Linked DNA regions of Oryctolagus cuniculus. The protein of the gene in region 2 purifies or fractionates together with the protein of the main gene of each other region. This does not show direct contact. Links are inferred from orthologs where the notes say so. Each region holds a gene or a part of one and is shown on either strand. Other genes may lie near its edges.

Region 1 (7,445 bases), on a different chromosome or scaffold from region 2:
TATTTGAAAGTCAAAGTTAGAGAGAGGTCTTCCACCCACTGGTTCACTCCCCAGTTGGCCACAACAGCCAGAACTGTGCTGATCTGAAGCCAGGAGCTTCTTCCTGGTCTCCCATGTGCGTGTAGGAGCTGGACTTGGGCCATCCTCTACTGCTTTCCCAGGCCATAGCAGAGCGCGGGATTGGAAGTGCAGCAGCCAGGATACAAACCAGTGCCCATATGGGATACGGGCTCTGCAGGGAGCGGCTTTTACCCACTACGCCACAGCGCTGGCCCCTACATTTATTTTTATTTATTTATTTATTTGACAGAGTTAGTGAGAGAGAGAGACAGAGACAAGGATCTTCCTTCCATTGGTTCACTCCCCAAATGGCCACTATGGCCAGCGCGATACGCCAATCCGAAGCCAGGAGCCAGGTGCTCCCTCCTGGTCTCCCATGCGGGTGCAGGGCCCAAGCACTTGGGCCATCCTCCACTGCCTTCCCGGGCCACAGCAGAGAGCTGGACTGGAAGAGGAGCAACCGGGAATAGAACCCAGCACCCATATGGGATGCCGGCGCCAAGTGAGCCACGGCACTAGGCCCCCTACATTTATTTTTAAAAACAGTGTTGCTCTCAGCTTCTGCATAGGAAATAGCAGTTTAATTTGAAAGACGCCAAGGACTCAAGAAGCTGCAGTCCACACTCCCGTGCAGGGTGCACAAATTCTACAAGTTGTCACAAACGGCCAAAGGCTTTTTATTTCTGTGTGTATCTTTCTCACTTTTTTAAAAAAGGCACTGAATGGGGCTGGCGCTGTGGCATAGCGGGTTAACGCCCTGGCCTGAGGTGCCGGTTGGAGACCCAGCTGCTCCACTTCTGATCCAGCTCTCTGCTATGGTCTGGGAAAGCAGTAGAAGATGGCCCAAGTCCTTGGGTCCCTGCACCCGCATGGGGGACCACAGGGAAGTTCCTGGCTCCTGGCTTCAGATCGGCGCAGCTCCGGCCATTGCAGCCATCTAGGGAGTGAACCATTAGACGGAAGACCTCTCTCTCCCGGTGTAACTCTGACTTTCAAATAAATAAATAAAATCTTTAAAAAATAAAAAAGGAACTGAAGAACAGTTTTTTTCCGAAACCAAAAGATGAAATTTCTGACACTGAAGGAGCTTTCTGTTCTGCTATATAAACCTCTACCATTTCCCCCCTTTTCTCCTCAAAACAATTTCTGTAAAAAAAAAAAGTATAAGCTCCATAGTGACTGAACAACTCTTGAGACTTCAGTCTCAGAACTTTACTTGATAGAGGCATTTTGCACACCAGTTTTTAAATTCCTAAAACGTAATGGCCCCAATACATTCTGATCATTGAAATAATTGGAAATGTACCCATGACAATGTATGTCATTAATGAATGACATAAAACTCCTCCACAGTCACTCCCCTTGCAGCCTCTATCAGCTATAGGGAAGAACTGACGACACTTGTAACTGACAGCAGAGAGAGGGAAGACTCCTCCTCCCCAAGGGGGACCCCCTGCATCTCGGTCACGTGTGCACATTAACACTTAGCTCCTGCCTGCAACTGCAACGTATGCAGTAGCATACACGACAGGGAAGCCTTTTCTCCATTCCTCTAAACACAGCAGCTATTTCCTATGAGCAAACAGCACAGCGGTAGGCATCAGTCCTAACTTCAACTCTGAGTAACGGAGCGCAACTCTGGATAAAGACCTTACTCTTTAAAAAAACAGTACTTTTAATCCACTTTCCCAACAATACAATTAGTGGTTTCTTATCCCATCCTTTAGACAGGAACAACATCTGGACAGAAACGCTGCAGGGCTTTGGAAAGCATACAGAAGGAGTGTAGTGTTCAGCCCTGGAAGCAAGGTGGTTCACGCCGCACCGTGAAAAGAAGCAACAAGAAACGCTTCATCAACTGGACACCAGAGGGGCCTGCGGAGCTCATTCCAGAACACTGGAACTTACTCTGGGCGCAACATGAAGATCCCGCAATCCAGCGCCGAAGAAAGCTGAGAGGGAAAAGCAGGGAGCAGCAGTGCTGGTGGTGAGCTGGCTGAGTTTCTTTGTGCCTGGGCCTCTCCTTTGTAAAAACCACCTGTGGCAGTCTTCATATTGAGTTCCCTAAAACATCCCAGCACGCTTCAGAGAACAGGAAAAACTCTCTAGTCACCAGGAAGTGCTGTGCAAGGATGACCCAGGAGCAACGCGATGCTCTCCTGGACAGACAGGCATTCACACACACACCTGAACGCTGCGCCGTTCAAAGAGGACACAGGAAATGGCACTTACTCTAACAATGCTGCTGTTGCACCAAAGTTTAGACATTTTTCTGGAACTGCCTCAGAGTCAGCACTCATTCTTCCAGACAGACAGCTGGGGAATACGGCTATTTCTAATTCCAACTTCAGCTCTGCTTCAAGTCAAAGCAGCCTGCAGTAAAGCATTTTGCTTATGTACACAGAGGAATTACATGGCCTCCCCAGGTGACTGCCTTGAAGGAACACCATTTCTTCACATATTTATGCTTGTTGGGGTGGGGGGAGGCCCTGGGACTTCACTGGTGGCTCATATTCAGGGGAGGGGGCGCCAGTCTGCAAATCCCTAACACCCGTCCCTCACTTCATGTGCCCAGCGTCTGACGGCACAGCGGCCTCTGCCGCTTTCTCTCTACCAGAATCCTGCTCCTCCATCACCGGCTAGGACAGCACTGAGCGAGGCTGCTGGGCACGGTTCTGAGAGGCGGCTCCCAGAAAGCCTGAGCCCGGCCTGAGAGGACAGGGCCTCCCCGCACAGCCTGACATGCACAGGCAGCTTCTGAGCCCCACAGCCCCCGCCACAGACCCTCTCCAAACACACGTTCAGGGATCTGGCGATAATGAAGACCCATGACAGCTTCTAAGAACAACTTTGCAGGACACCCAGTAAAACATTATTAAAGCCACACAGTTACCTGAAGCCAACTCTTCAGGCTCATTACGTCTTCACTCAAGAGATAACAGAAGGCCTATCATCAAACTTAAGATTGCGAAAGCAGACATCAGACAGTTTTGTTCCAACAGCTTGAGTGATTAAAAGTGCCTTCTAACTCCAGTTTTACTAGCTGATAAGCAGCTCCAGGGCTCCCAGCACTCCCTGCGCCCCTCAGCTGTCCCACCTGAAACTTCACTGTCAGAGGAGAAACAAGTGGTTATCACCCCGAGGAGTTTCCTTCCCCTTGGCTCCAATTTTCTCCAACTTTCTTTGTGGACTAACAAACACAGCGCTCAAAGAGCCCTCGGATCCATGGAATCTCCATGAAAAGGCTTTTCTTCCCTCTGAATATTTATTTATTTTGTAACAAATGGGGCCCTTTTGGGATTTTTGCTTTGGGAACCTCTAATTTACATTTTAGAACAAGGGTGTTCCTGATCCGTTCTGCTTAGATTTAAGGCCGGTCTGCGTGTTTTCTTAAGTCCAAGGAAAACGGGGTGGGATCCGGGCGTCCTGGACAGAAGAGACATAACGCAAGAGCCGGCACAGCTCGTTCTAGAAACGAGGCTCGGGTAACTCACGTCCTTTTGGCCTGTGGGGGAAAAAGTTACAAACCACTTATAGGAGACTCACCTTCAGAATTTTTACAACCACTCTCTCATTGTTGGTGATGTTAATGGCCTCAAATACTTCGCTATACTTTCCCCGACCAAGTTTTCGAACCAGCTGGTAATCATCTTGATTACTGTGAGAGGCAAAAGACACACATAAATGCTGGGCCTTGGGGTCCGCCGAGCCTATGCCCACGATACGCCCCGGCCGGCCACTTCCACGAACCAAGCGCTTGGAAGTGTCTATAATCCATGCTGCAACTCAGTCCCTATATGAAAGCTACAACACACACCAGGCTCCTGCTGCTCTGCAGGGCTCCCAACCTAACTGGTCCCTTGTAACTTGGGGGTAGACGCTCTGAGTCCATCATCCATCTCGCAGACCCTGGGAGCACTCCGCCCTGCCCGCGGTTCCACAGCACCTGCCCCCTATTTCACACCCCGAAGGTAGCCAGCGCCAGCTCTGAGAATCTGCACATCTTTCGAAAAAATCCCCCCCACCCCGCCTCGTGTCAGAAAACTAAAAAAGCAGCGCATTTTCATAGAAGACAGCTGTTGACTCCCCACCCCGAGAGAAACCCCCAGCCTGAGGGGCGGCTGCTGCCTCCCTTCCGCGCTAGGCCCTGGTCCCCCCCCCCCCCCGCCGGAGGGAAGGGGCAAGAGGGGTGCACAAAGCTGGGGGCGGGGGAGGAACGGCCGCGGGTGAGGGAAGAGGAAGAGGAGGACATGTGCGAGGTGGGGGCCTCTGCCGCCCAGCCCAGCCCTGCCCCGGCGAGCGGCCTGCGGGAGGCAGATCGCGGGGGCCGAGTGCGGTTTGCGCCGGGGGGCGGCCCGGCGGGGGTGGGGGTGAGAGGCCCCGGCGGGGGGCGGCGGCGGCGGCGGCTTTACCCCCAGCTCGGGACGTGAGCCTCGTAGTCCCAGTAATCGCGGCTCCTCAGGCTGTTCACTTCGGCGTAGACCCGGGCCCTGCTGCCCGCGGCCGGGCCGGGCATGGCGGGCGGGACCGGGGGGCGCCGCGGGGCGCAGAGGGCGGCGGCGGCGGCGCGGCGGGGGGCGCGGGGCGGCGGGCGAAGGAGGCGGCGGGCCGCGGGGCGCCGGAGGAGGAGGAGGAGCGCGGCGGCGGGCGGCCGCGCCAGGCCGGGCCCGCGGGGGCGGGCGGGCTGGGGGCGCGGGGGGCGCCGGCCGAGCCGGCCCGGCCCTGGAGCAGCCGGCGGGGCGGCGGGGCGGGCGGCGCTCGCGCTCCGCGGCGGCCTCCGCTCGGCTCGCGGCCCCCAGGCGGCGGCGGCGGCTGCGGCGACGGCGGCGGCGACGGCACCGGCAGCGGCAGCCACCGGCCGGGAAAGGGGCAGCGGCGAAGAAGGAGGAGGAGGAGGAGGAGGCGGAGGAAACCCGGAAAAGGGGCCGCGCTCACTAGGAGCGGCCGCCGCCCAGCCCGGGGCCGCCCAGGCTCACAGCGCCCCCTGCAGCGTGGGGGGACCCGCGGGGCGGTGCCGGCCCCGCCCCCCGCCCCGGCGCGCCGGTCGGGCTCTCCGCATCCTGGGGCTGGCCGGGTCTCTCCCGCAGGGCCACCCCGCCTGCCGTCGGCTGCCCTTGAGCCCTTGAGGACTGACCCCGAGACGCCCACCCCAAGACCGTCACCTCTGGTCATCCAGACCTTACCCACCCCAAGACCTCCCGCAGTACCCGGTCTTGATAGCCCTGTTACCCAACCGCTCTTCCCCAGTGACGCACTCTTCAACCGCAGAACCTCCCCCACCTCAAGATGTCCCCTCCCCTCGTGTGTGTGTGTGTGTGTGTGTGTGTGTGTGTGTGTGTGTGTGTTTTAATCCCTTTTCCCCGCTGTGGACCCTGCTCTGTCACTCGCAGACTCCTTGTCCTGAGACCCCATGCTCCTTCATCCCAAGTCTTCCCCACAAAACCCCTCTCCTACACCGTCCCCCACGTTCTCTTCCAGAGCCTTCTCTGAACGTCCACTTCGGTCACTTGGTTAAGCTGGGGTGGCCAGTCTGGCCTGTTTTGTGCCTTCTAGCCCTGAACTCTCTTCTCTCCTGCATCTTCTGGGTCTTCCTTGTGGCTGGCTCCCCCTTCTGCCCCACTCTTAGCGGCCCCTCACCCAGCCAGCCAGCTCTGACTCCCATCCTTTTTCATGCTGCTTCCTGGATAAGGCCCTTGATGGAGTTCAGCATTGTAGATTACCCTGCCGCCTGGGCATCCCGCATGAACTCTGGTTGGGGTCCTGGCTGCCTCTCTCTCTCTCTCTCTCTCTCTCTCTCTCTCTCTCTCCCCCTCCTTCCCTCCATCTCCTCCTGTCTGTGACTCTGCCTTTCAGATAAACTAAATCTTTAAGAAAAAAAGACCCAGGGCAAGCATTGCAGTGTGGAAGGTTAAGCCACCACCTGTAACACTGGCTTCTCGTTTGGGCACCAGTTTGAGTCCCAGCTACTCCACTTCCAATCCAGTTCCTTGCTAATGAGCCTGGGAAAGCAGCAGAAGGTGGCCCCCAAGTCACTGGGCCCCTGGAATGCACATGGGAGACCTGGCTTCGCCTAGGCCAGCCCTGACCTTTATGGCCATTTGGGGAGTGAACCAGTAGATGGAAGATTTCTCTCTGTCTCTCCCTCTCTAACTCTGCCTTTCACATAAATTCTTTTTAAAGGAGAAAAAAAAAAAGACCCTTGATACAGCTAAAAGCACAGATTATGGAGTCAGAGCTATCCAAACGTGAGTCCCAGCTCTGCTGCTTACAAGCTGTGTCCTTGAACCAATTACTTAACCTCTCTTGGCTGCAGATTTCACAGCATGAAACTGCTGATGGCGCTCACTTCCCAGGGTTGTGCAAAGAACCCAGACTGGGCAAACCTTGTAAAACGCTCGGAGCGGTGCTCAGTATTAGAATACTCAGTGCACTGCACGACCAGTACCAGACCAGGGCCTTATTCCTGTCATGTTTCCCTCCAGGAGACGAGCCCACGTGCCTTGCAGTTCCTCCCACCCTTCCAGGTGACCAAGGGACACCTCCACCCCCACTTTCCTATGGCTGACTCCTTTTTCCTCTTCAAGTCTCACCTTTAAGTCACTCTGTCTAAAGTGATGTTTCTGTATCTCAACACCCCAGCCGCATGCATCACAAAACTGCACATCTTGGCACGGGTTATTTCCTGGTTTATTGTCTGTCCTCTCCCCACTGTGAAAACAGTGTGAAAGCAAGGAGTGGCTCTGGCAGCCCCTCACCGGCTCACCCAGCAGTTGCCACAGTCAGAGGCCTCCAGTGGTGCTAACTCACAGAGGACTTACGGGTTAACCCATGGAGAACCTAGGCGTCACTGCCTTAACTGCGGCCCAGACTTATCATCCACAAGGAACCAGCTGAGCCTTCAAAGTGACACGCTAACGGGGGACATATCACCAATGGTTCCTCCTGCCAAAAATGCGGAACCTGAATTTAATCGTGACACAATCAGACCAATGCAAACTGCAGAATATCCTGCAATGTGGCTAGCCTGGACTCTTCAAAAATGCCGGTGTCACAAGAGAAACAAAACCGAACCCTGTAGTCATGCTCTTGACTACAGGAGACTGACTTGGCTATGGATCGGCGCAGCTCCAGCCATTGCGGCCAACTGGGGAGTGAACCAGAGGATGGAAGACCTCTCTCTCTCTCTCTCTGCCTCTCCTTCTCACTCTGTATAAAACTTCGACTTTCAAGTAAAATAAAAAAATCTTCAAAAAAATAATAAATAAAGGAGACGGAGAGACCTAAGTGAAGTGAACAATTCTGGACCAGATTGTGGGTTCAGAAAGAAAGGTGGAAAGGAGAGGAAGGAGGAAGAAAGAATATAGTTAACAAAGGACACTGCTGGG
Region 2 (6,243 bases):
GAGAGGCCTCTCAAGCCTGTGGAAAGACAATGACTTAAGGGACAAAAAGTCTGTGTAATTTGATTATTTTCCTCTTCCTCGTTAAAAATTGTTTTTAAGAAACCATCAGCTTTCCTTTCCACCTGTTTTAAAACAGTGTATTATCAACACTTTATTTTTTACCTATTTGTTTATTTTTAAAGGATTTATTTATTTGAAAGAGTTACAGAGAGAGCTATAGAGGGATATAGGTCTTCCATCTGCTGGTTCACTCCCTAGATGGCTGCAATGGCTGGAGCTGCGCTGATCAGAAGCCGGGAGCCAGGAGCTTCTTCCAGATCTCCCACACAGGTGTAGGGGCCCAAGGACTTTCCCAGGCCACAGCAGAGCTGGATTGGAAGAGGAGCAGCGCGGACTAGAACCGGCGCCCATATGGGATGCTGGCACTTCAGGCCAGGGCTTTAACCCGCTACGCCACAGCAATGGCCCTACGTATTTTTTTTTAAAGACTTATTTAAGAGTTAGAGAGGTCTTCCATCCACTTGTTCACTCCCCCAAATGGCCACAAATGCTGGAGCTGAGCACATCTAAAGCCAGGAGCCTGGAGCTTCTTTGGGGTCTCCCACGTGGGTGCAGAGTCATCTGCTTTCCCAGGTACATTAGCAAAGGAGCTGGATTGGAAGTGAAGCAGCTGGGACTCAAACCCGTTCCCGCTGCAGGCTGGGGCTTTAAGATGCTAGGCACAGTGCTGGCCCCGTGTTTTGTTTTGTTTTGTTTTGTAATTTATTTTATTTGAAAGGCAGCTGAGAGATCTATCAACTGGTTCACTCCCCAAATGGCCCCAATAGCCCGGTCTGGGCCAGACAGAAGGCAGGAGCCTGGAACTCTATCTGGGTCTGAGCTGGATAGGAAGTGCCACAGCCGGGACTGAACTCTAACCAGTGTTCATATGGGATGCCGGCATCGCAGACAGCAACTTAACAGGCAAGCCCCAAATGTTTTCCTTATTCTGTCATTGGTTAGTAGCCTTTACAAAGTGCTCCAGTTGTCCTCTCAGATAGGGCCTTACCTCCACTTGGACCGTCAAAAACCCCAAGGGAACAAAGCAGTCACTTTAAGTCTGGATTTCTTGGTGATCGCCTTGTTCCTACACCCTGAGTATTGGCTGAATGGTGCATCCTCAAACGTGAAATCGCCAGAATTGTGTAGGGGTGAGTACCACAGAATTTCAGTCCTTTAGTGGATAGAGAAGGCCCGGGTTCCAATCTCAGCTCTCTCCTACAAGCAGTGTGACTTCCAGTAATTAATGTACGAAAGTGCCTCAGGTGTTTTTTTTCTTCTTCTTCTTTTTCTTCTCTTAAAGAAGGAATACTTCTCTCCTTTGGGTCATTGTGAGAACCACTTTACGGAGAAGCTGGAACACTTGGATGACCTATGAGTAACTCCTCTAGGTCTTGGGATGACCCTCCTCGCCCCGCCCACCCCCCACCCCCCCACCCCCCGTCAGAGAGGTGTCCCACAACATCCCTGAAAAGAGCCCAAGAGGTTTAGAGTCTTCCAGTACTATCTTAGTGTTAGACTAAATAGGAAATGCAATTAACGGGCAATCATTCCTAAGGTCCGCAAACCCACCTCTTCTCGGTTCCCAAATCGCGACACTTGTTTCCCGGGTAACCGGACTGGGTACAACACCTAATTGGGTCCGGGAAGCTCCAGGCGGAAAGTGTTTACATCTAGTTCCGGAATCTCCCCTTCTGAGGTCCGGCTTACTTTTTAGCTGAGCCGGACTCACTTGACTTCCAAGAAAGGGCCTGCTTCCCTTCTGCAGGGGTCGGCCCCTAGACTGCCCAGGAAATTCCCCAGCGGGAGTCGCCGCCGCTCCCGTTGGTGGGAAGAATTTCTCCCAAGCACGGCTTCCGGCCTGAAAGGGAAGCCCCCTCCTTTTTCTCCCAGACCGCCTCCTCCCCCCCACCCCCGCCACGCGAGGCTGCGGCGCACGGTATGGGTGTGTTTGTGTGTATTTGTGTGGGGAGGGAGTTTATAGGGAGAGTCACCGGGAGCTCCAAGGCCGCTGGGGGACAGGGATCCCGGTGACAAAGATGGGGGTGTTTTCTCTGTCTTCTACCTGGAAACCCCAAAGGCCCCGTCAGGCACCGTAGACACTTCCTGGGGCCCAACGGAAGGTCGTACCACTCCAAAACGTCCCCCTTCTTTCCTGGGGAGTGAAACCCAACCCCCGGTGTCCGTTCCAGCGGAGCGTCAGCGGGCGATGCCCCGGTCAACCGGGCGGTCCGGGTTCCGCGCCGGCGCAGCCTCCGGCCTCAGCCAGGAGAAACATCTGCCTGTCGGGCTGGGCTGGGGCGAGGCAGCCGTGGCCTGGGCCACGGGTGAGGGCAGAGTAACCGGTGGGAAGGCTCCGTTTTCACGAAGGACTCGGGTGAAGCTGCAGAGCTGCCTTTGAGCCCTGACTCCTTGGCTTCCTGGGTCGATGGAGATCTTGTAATGGAGTGGTTCTTCGTCTCACACTAACAAGATGCCTGATTACCTCAGGATCGAGGGGTGAGTGAGCGTTGGGGTGGTCGCACAAAACCCCTGGTGACCACACACGTGAATATTCTTGTTAATCTAGTTTTAGGAAACTTCTGTACAAAATAGGATTGACGATGCCCCGAATGGAGAAATTTCGGTCATCTTGCATTTCATGCCTAAAAGGCATCAGTTTCTGTAATTGTAGACGGGTAGTTTCTGACGCTATCGAATCTGGGTGTTACTTCATTGCAAACTTTGGGGTTCCAGATTTGACATCTGATCTGGACATTGATATATAGTCGTTTGCATGAGGCAAGTTAGAACTTGAAGGGAGCTTCATCTAGAAGATAAGAATGGAGATATTATACATTTGGCCTTTGGTACCGGTTTCTGCATTCTCGGATTCAAGGAACAGCAGGATGAAAATATTTGGGGGGGAAAATTGTCTGTACTGACTTTTATTCTCATTATTCCCTAAACAGTATAGCATGATAATGATTTCCATGGCGTTTATGTTGTATTAGGTATTAGAAGAAATCTAGAGATGCTCTAAAGCCTACAGGAGATGTCATAGGTTATATGCAAGTACTGTGCCATTTTATATGAAAGTACTTCAGAAAGTTAGTGGAAGATGGAATTAAAAGCTAAGTTTACTTTGTTGCCAAAAAAAGAGAGAGAAATCCATGCATATGAGGGGTTCTTTAAAGAGTTCATGAAGAATGTATATTGTAAAAAAAAAAACTATATTGATTTCAAATACTTTTTCTACCAAAGTAGACATACCTTTTAATTCAATTTTCCATGAGCTTTTTGAAGTATCCTTGCATAAGGGATTTGAGCATACATGGGTTTTGGTGTCTATGGGTGGGGGGTTGGGGGTGGTGATGGTTCCAGAACCAGTTTCCATGATTATTGAAGGATGACTGTATTTGCCTAATATAAAATAGAGTTATTATGAGGATTAAATAAAAGGTGCTTAATTTTGTGCAGTCTTGTTCAAAGAACTTTAATGTATGTTATCTTCTTTCATCCTTACATTACAGGCTATTCCCCCCTTTAATGGTAAAGGAAAAACTATTCCTCTGACTTCTAGTCCAATGTTCTTTGCTTTACCTCATGCTTTTTTATGAACTTTAATAAAAGCAATGGTAGTAAGGTAAAGGAAATACTTACTAAGTGTTATCTATTGACTCATTTCAGATTGAAGAATGTCCCGGGTTCCTTTGGGGAAAGTCCTCCTGAGGAATGTCATCCGGCACACAGATGCTCACAATAAGGTGGGAGGTACAACCCAGTCATTCCTCAACACTTATTGAGATCATACAGTGTGACAAGGATTGTTTTGATACAGTTGAGGAGTCCAAAGTGAATGAACAATTTATTATCTACTTAAATAGATAAAAATAGTTTCATAAGTATTATATAGTAGAGATAGCTGCAAAGTACTTTAGAGTACCAAGGAAGGAATAAGGAAATCTGTGTTGGGGAATTAGAAAAGACTGCACAGGGAGCAAGCATATAGCCTAGCTGTTGAGACACCTACGACCCACATTAGAGTATCTGGGTTCAGTGTCTAACTGCAGCTCTTGACTCCAGCTTTGTGCCGATGCAGACCCTGGGAGGCAGTGACAATGGCTCAACTAATCGGTTCTGTCCCCTCATGGGTGACCTGGACTGTGTTCCCAGCTCTCAGCTTCAACCTGACCCAGCTCTGGCAATTGAGGGCATTTGGAGAATGAACTACTAGCGCGCTCTCGCCCGTGCTCTCTCTCTCTCTCTCTCTCTCTTAAATTTTCATCTATTTGAAAGGGCGACAGACACACACACACTGATATCTTCTATCTGTTTTACTCTTCAGATGCCTACAACAGCCAGGAACTCCATCTGAATTTCCCACTGCATGGAGGGGCCATCATCTGCTGCCTCCTTGGATGCATTAGCAAGAAGTTAGATCAGGGGACCTTGGCGGCTGCCACGGCTCACTTGGCTAATCCTCCGCCTGCAGCGCCGGCACCCCGGGTTCTAGTCCCAGTTGGGGCACCGGGTTCTGTCCTGGTTGCTCCTCTTCCAGTCCAGCTCTCTGCTGTGGCCTGGGAGGGCAGTGGAGGATGGCCCAAGTGCTTGGGCCCTGCACCCGCATGGGAGACCAGGAGGAAGCTTCTGGCTTTGGATCGGCGCAGCGTGCCGGCTGTAGCAGCCATTTGGGGGGTGAACCAACGGAAGGAAGACCTTTCTCTCTCTCTCTCTCACTGTCTAACTCAGCCTGTCAAAAAAAAAAAAAAAAAAAAAGATCAGGGGACCGGTGTTGTGGATATGGATAATGGTTCTCGTCCCAACTGCTTTACTTCCGATCCAGCTCCCTGCTAATGTACCTGGGAAAGCAGGCTCCTGGCTTCTGGCTTCGGGTTGGTTCAGTTCGGCCACTACGGCCATTTGGGGAGTGAACCAGCAAATGATAGCTCTCTCTACCTCTCTGTTTCTCCTTCTTTCTCTTTTTCTGCTTTTCGAATAAATAATTTTTTTTTCTTAAAAGAAGCTGGATCAGAATTGGAGGTGCTGAGACTTGATCTAGCACTCCGATTATGGATTGTGGTGTGCTAACCAGCAGCCTAACTCATTTTACCACAGCATCCACCCTGGAGCTCTCTTTTTGTCTGCTTGTGTTTCTGCCTCTAAGTAAGAAAAAAGAAAGAACATGAGACGCTTTCACAAGGTGGGTGATTTGAGCTGTGGATTTTTTTTTAAAGACTTTATTTACTTGAGAGGTACAATTACAGACAGTGAGGAGAGACAGAGAGAGGTCTTCCATCCACTGGTTCACTCCCCAAATGGCCACAATGGCTGGAGCTGAGCCAATCTGAAGCCAGGAGCCAGGACCTTCTTCCAAGTCTCCCTTGCGGGTACAGGGGCCCTAGTTCTTGAGCCATCTTCTACTGCTTTTCTAGGCCATAGCAGAAAGCTGGATTGGAAGAGGAACAGCCGGGACTAGAAGTGGCACCCATATGGGATGCCGGCACTGCAGGTAGAGGATTAACTTGTGCCATAGTGCCAACCCCGAGCTGCTGATATTTAAAAAGTTATTATTATTATTATCTTAAGGCATAGAGATAAATAATGAGAGTTCTTCCATCCACGTGTTCACTCCCCAAATGCCTGCAACAGCCTGGATTCGGCCAGGCTGAAGCCAGGAGCCTGAAACTCAGTCCAGGTCTCCATGTGCTTTGGCCATCACCTGCTGCCTCCCAGAGTGTCCATTAGCAGACAGCTGGATCAGAAGCAGGAGAGGGCCAGCGCTGTGGCATAGCGGGTAGAGCCGCCACCTGCAGTGCCCGCATCCCATATAGGTTCCGGTTCAAGTCTCGGCTGCTCCACTTCGGATCCAGCTCTCTGCTATTTCCTGGGAGGGCAGTAGAAGATGGCCTAAGTCCTTGGGCCCCTGCACCCACGTGGGAGATCGAGAAGAAACTCCTGGCTCCTGGCTTTGGATTGGTGCAGCTCTAGCCACTGTGGCCTGTGCATTGGGGAATGCATCCGTGGATGGAAGACCTCTCTCTCTCTGCCTCTCCTTCTCTCTCTGTGTAACTCTGCCTTTCAAATAAATAAATAAATCTTTAAAACAAAACAAAACAAAAAAAAGTAGTAGAGTCAGGACTCAAACCAGGCATGCCAAATGCCTGCCCCAAGCTGCTAATACTTGAACTGTTTCTTCATGGATGTATATTATTTTATCAAATA

What was found.
Region 1: the proteins of NKAPD1 (region 2) and CSNK2A2 purify together in Homo sapiens (affinity purification with mass spectrometry; 5 studies listed by BioGRID and IntAct, counting the BioPlex papers as one, with this or other methods). This does not show direct contact. The link is inferred for Oryctolagus cuniculus from reciprocal best matches to the Homo sapiens genes NKAPD1 and CSNK2A2.

What each region holds. Positions count from the first base shown.
Region 1 is NC_091449.1:41,550,508-41,557,952, forward strand, and holds the start of CSNK2A2 (casein kinase II subunit alpha'), read right to left. Parts: upstream 4,723-7,445; 5' UTR 4,577-4,722; coding exon 4,473-4,576; intron 3,719-4,472; coding exon 3,607-3,718; intron 1-3,606.
Region 2 is NC_091432.1:104,018,514-104,024,756, forward strand, and holds the start of NKAPD1 (uncharacterized protein NKAPD1), read left to right. Parts: upstream 1-1,839; 5' UTR 1,840-1,978; exon of another isoform or gene 1,979-2,538; intron 2,539-3,708; 5' UTR 3,709-3,716; coding exon 3,717-3,785; coding exon of another isoform or gene 3,786-3,792; intron 3,793-4,366; exon of another isoform or gene 4,367-5,203; coding exon of another isoform or gene 5,204-5,221; intron 5,222-6,243.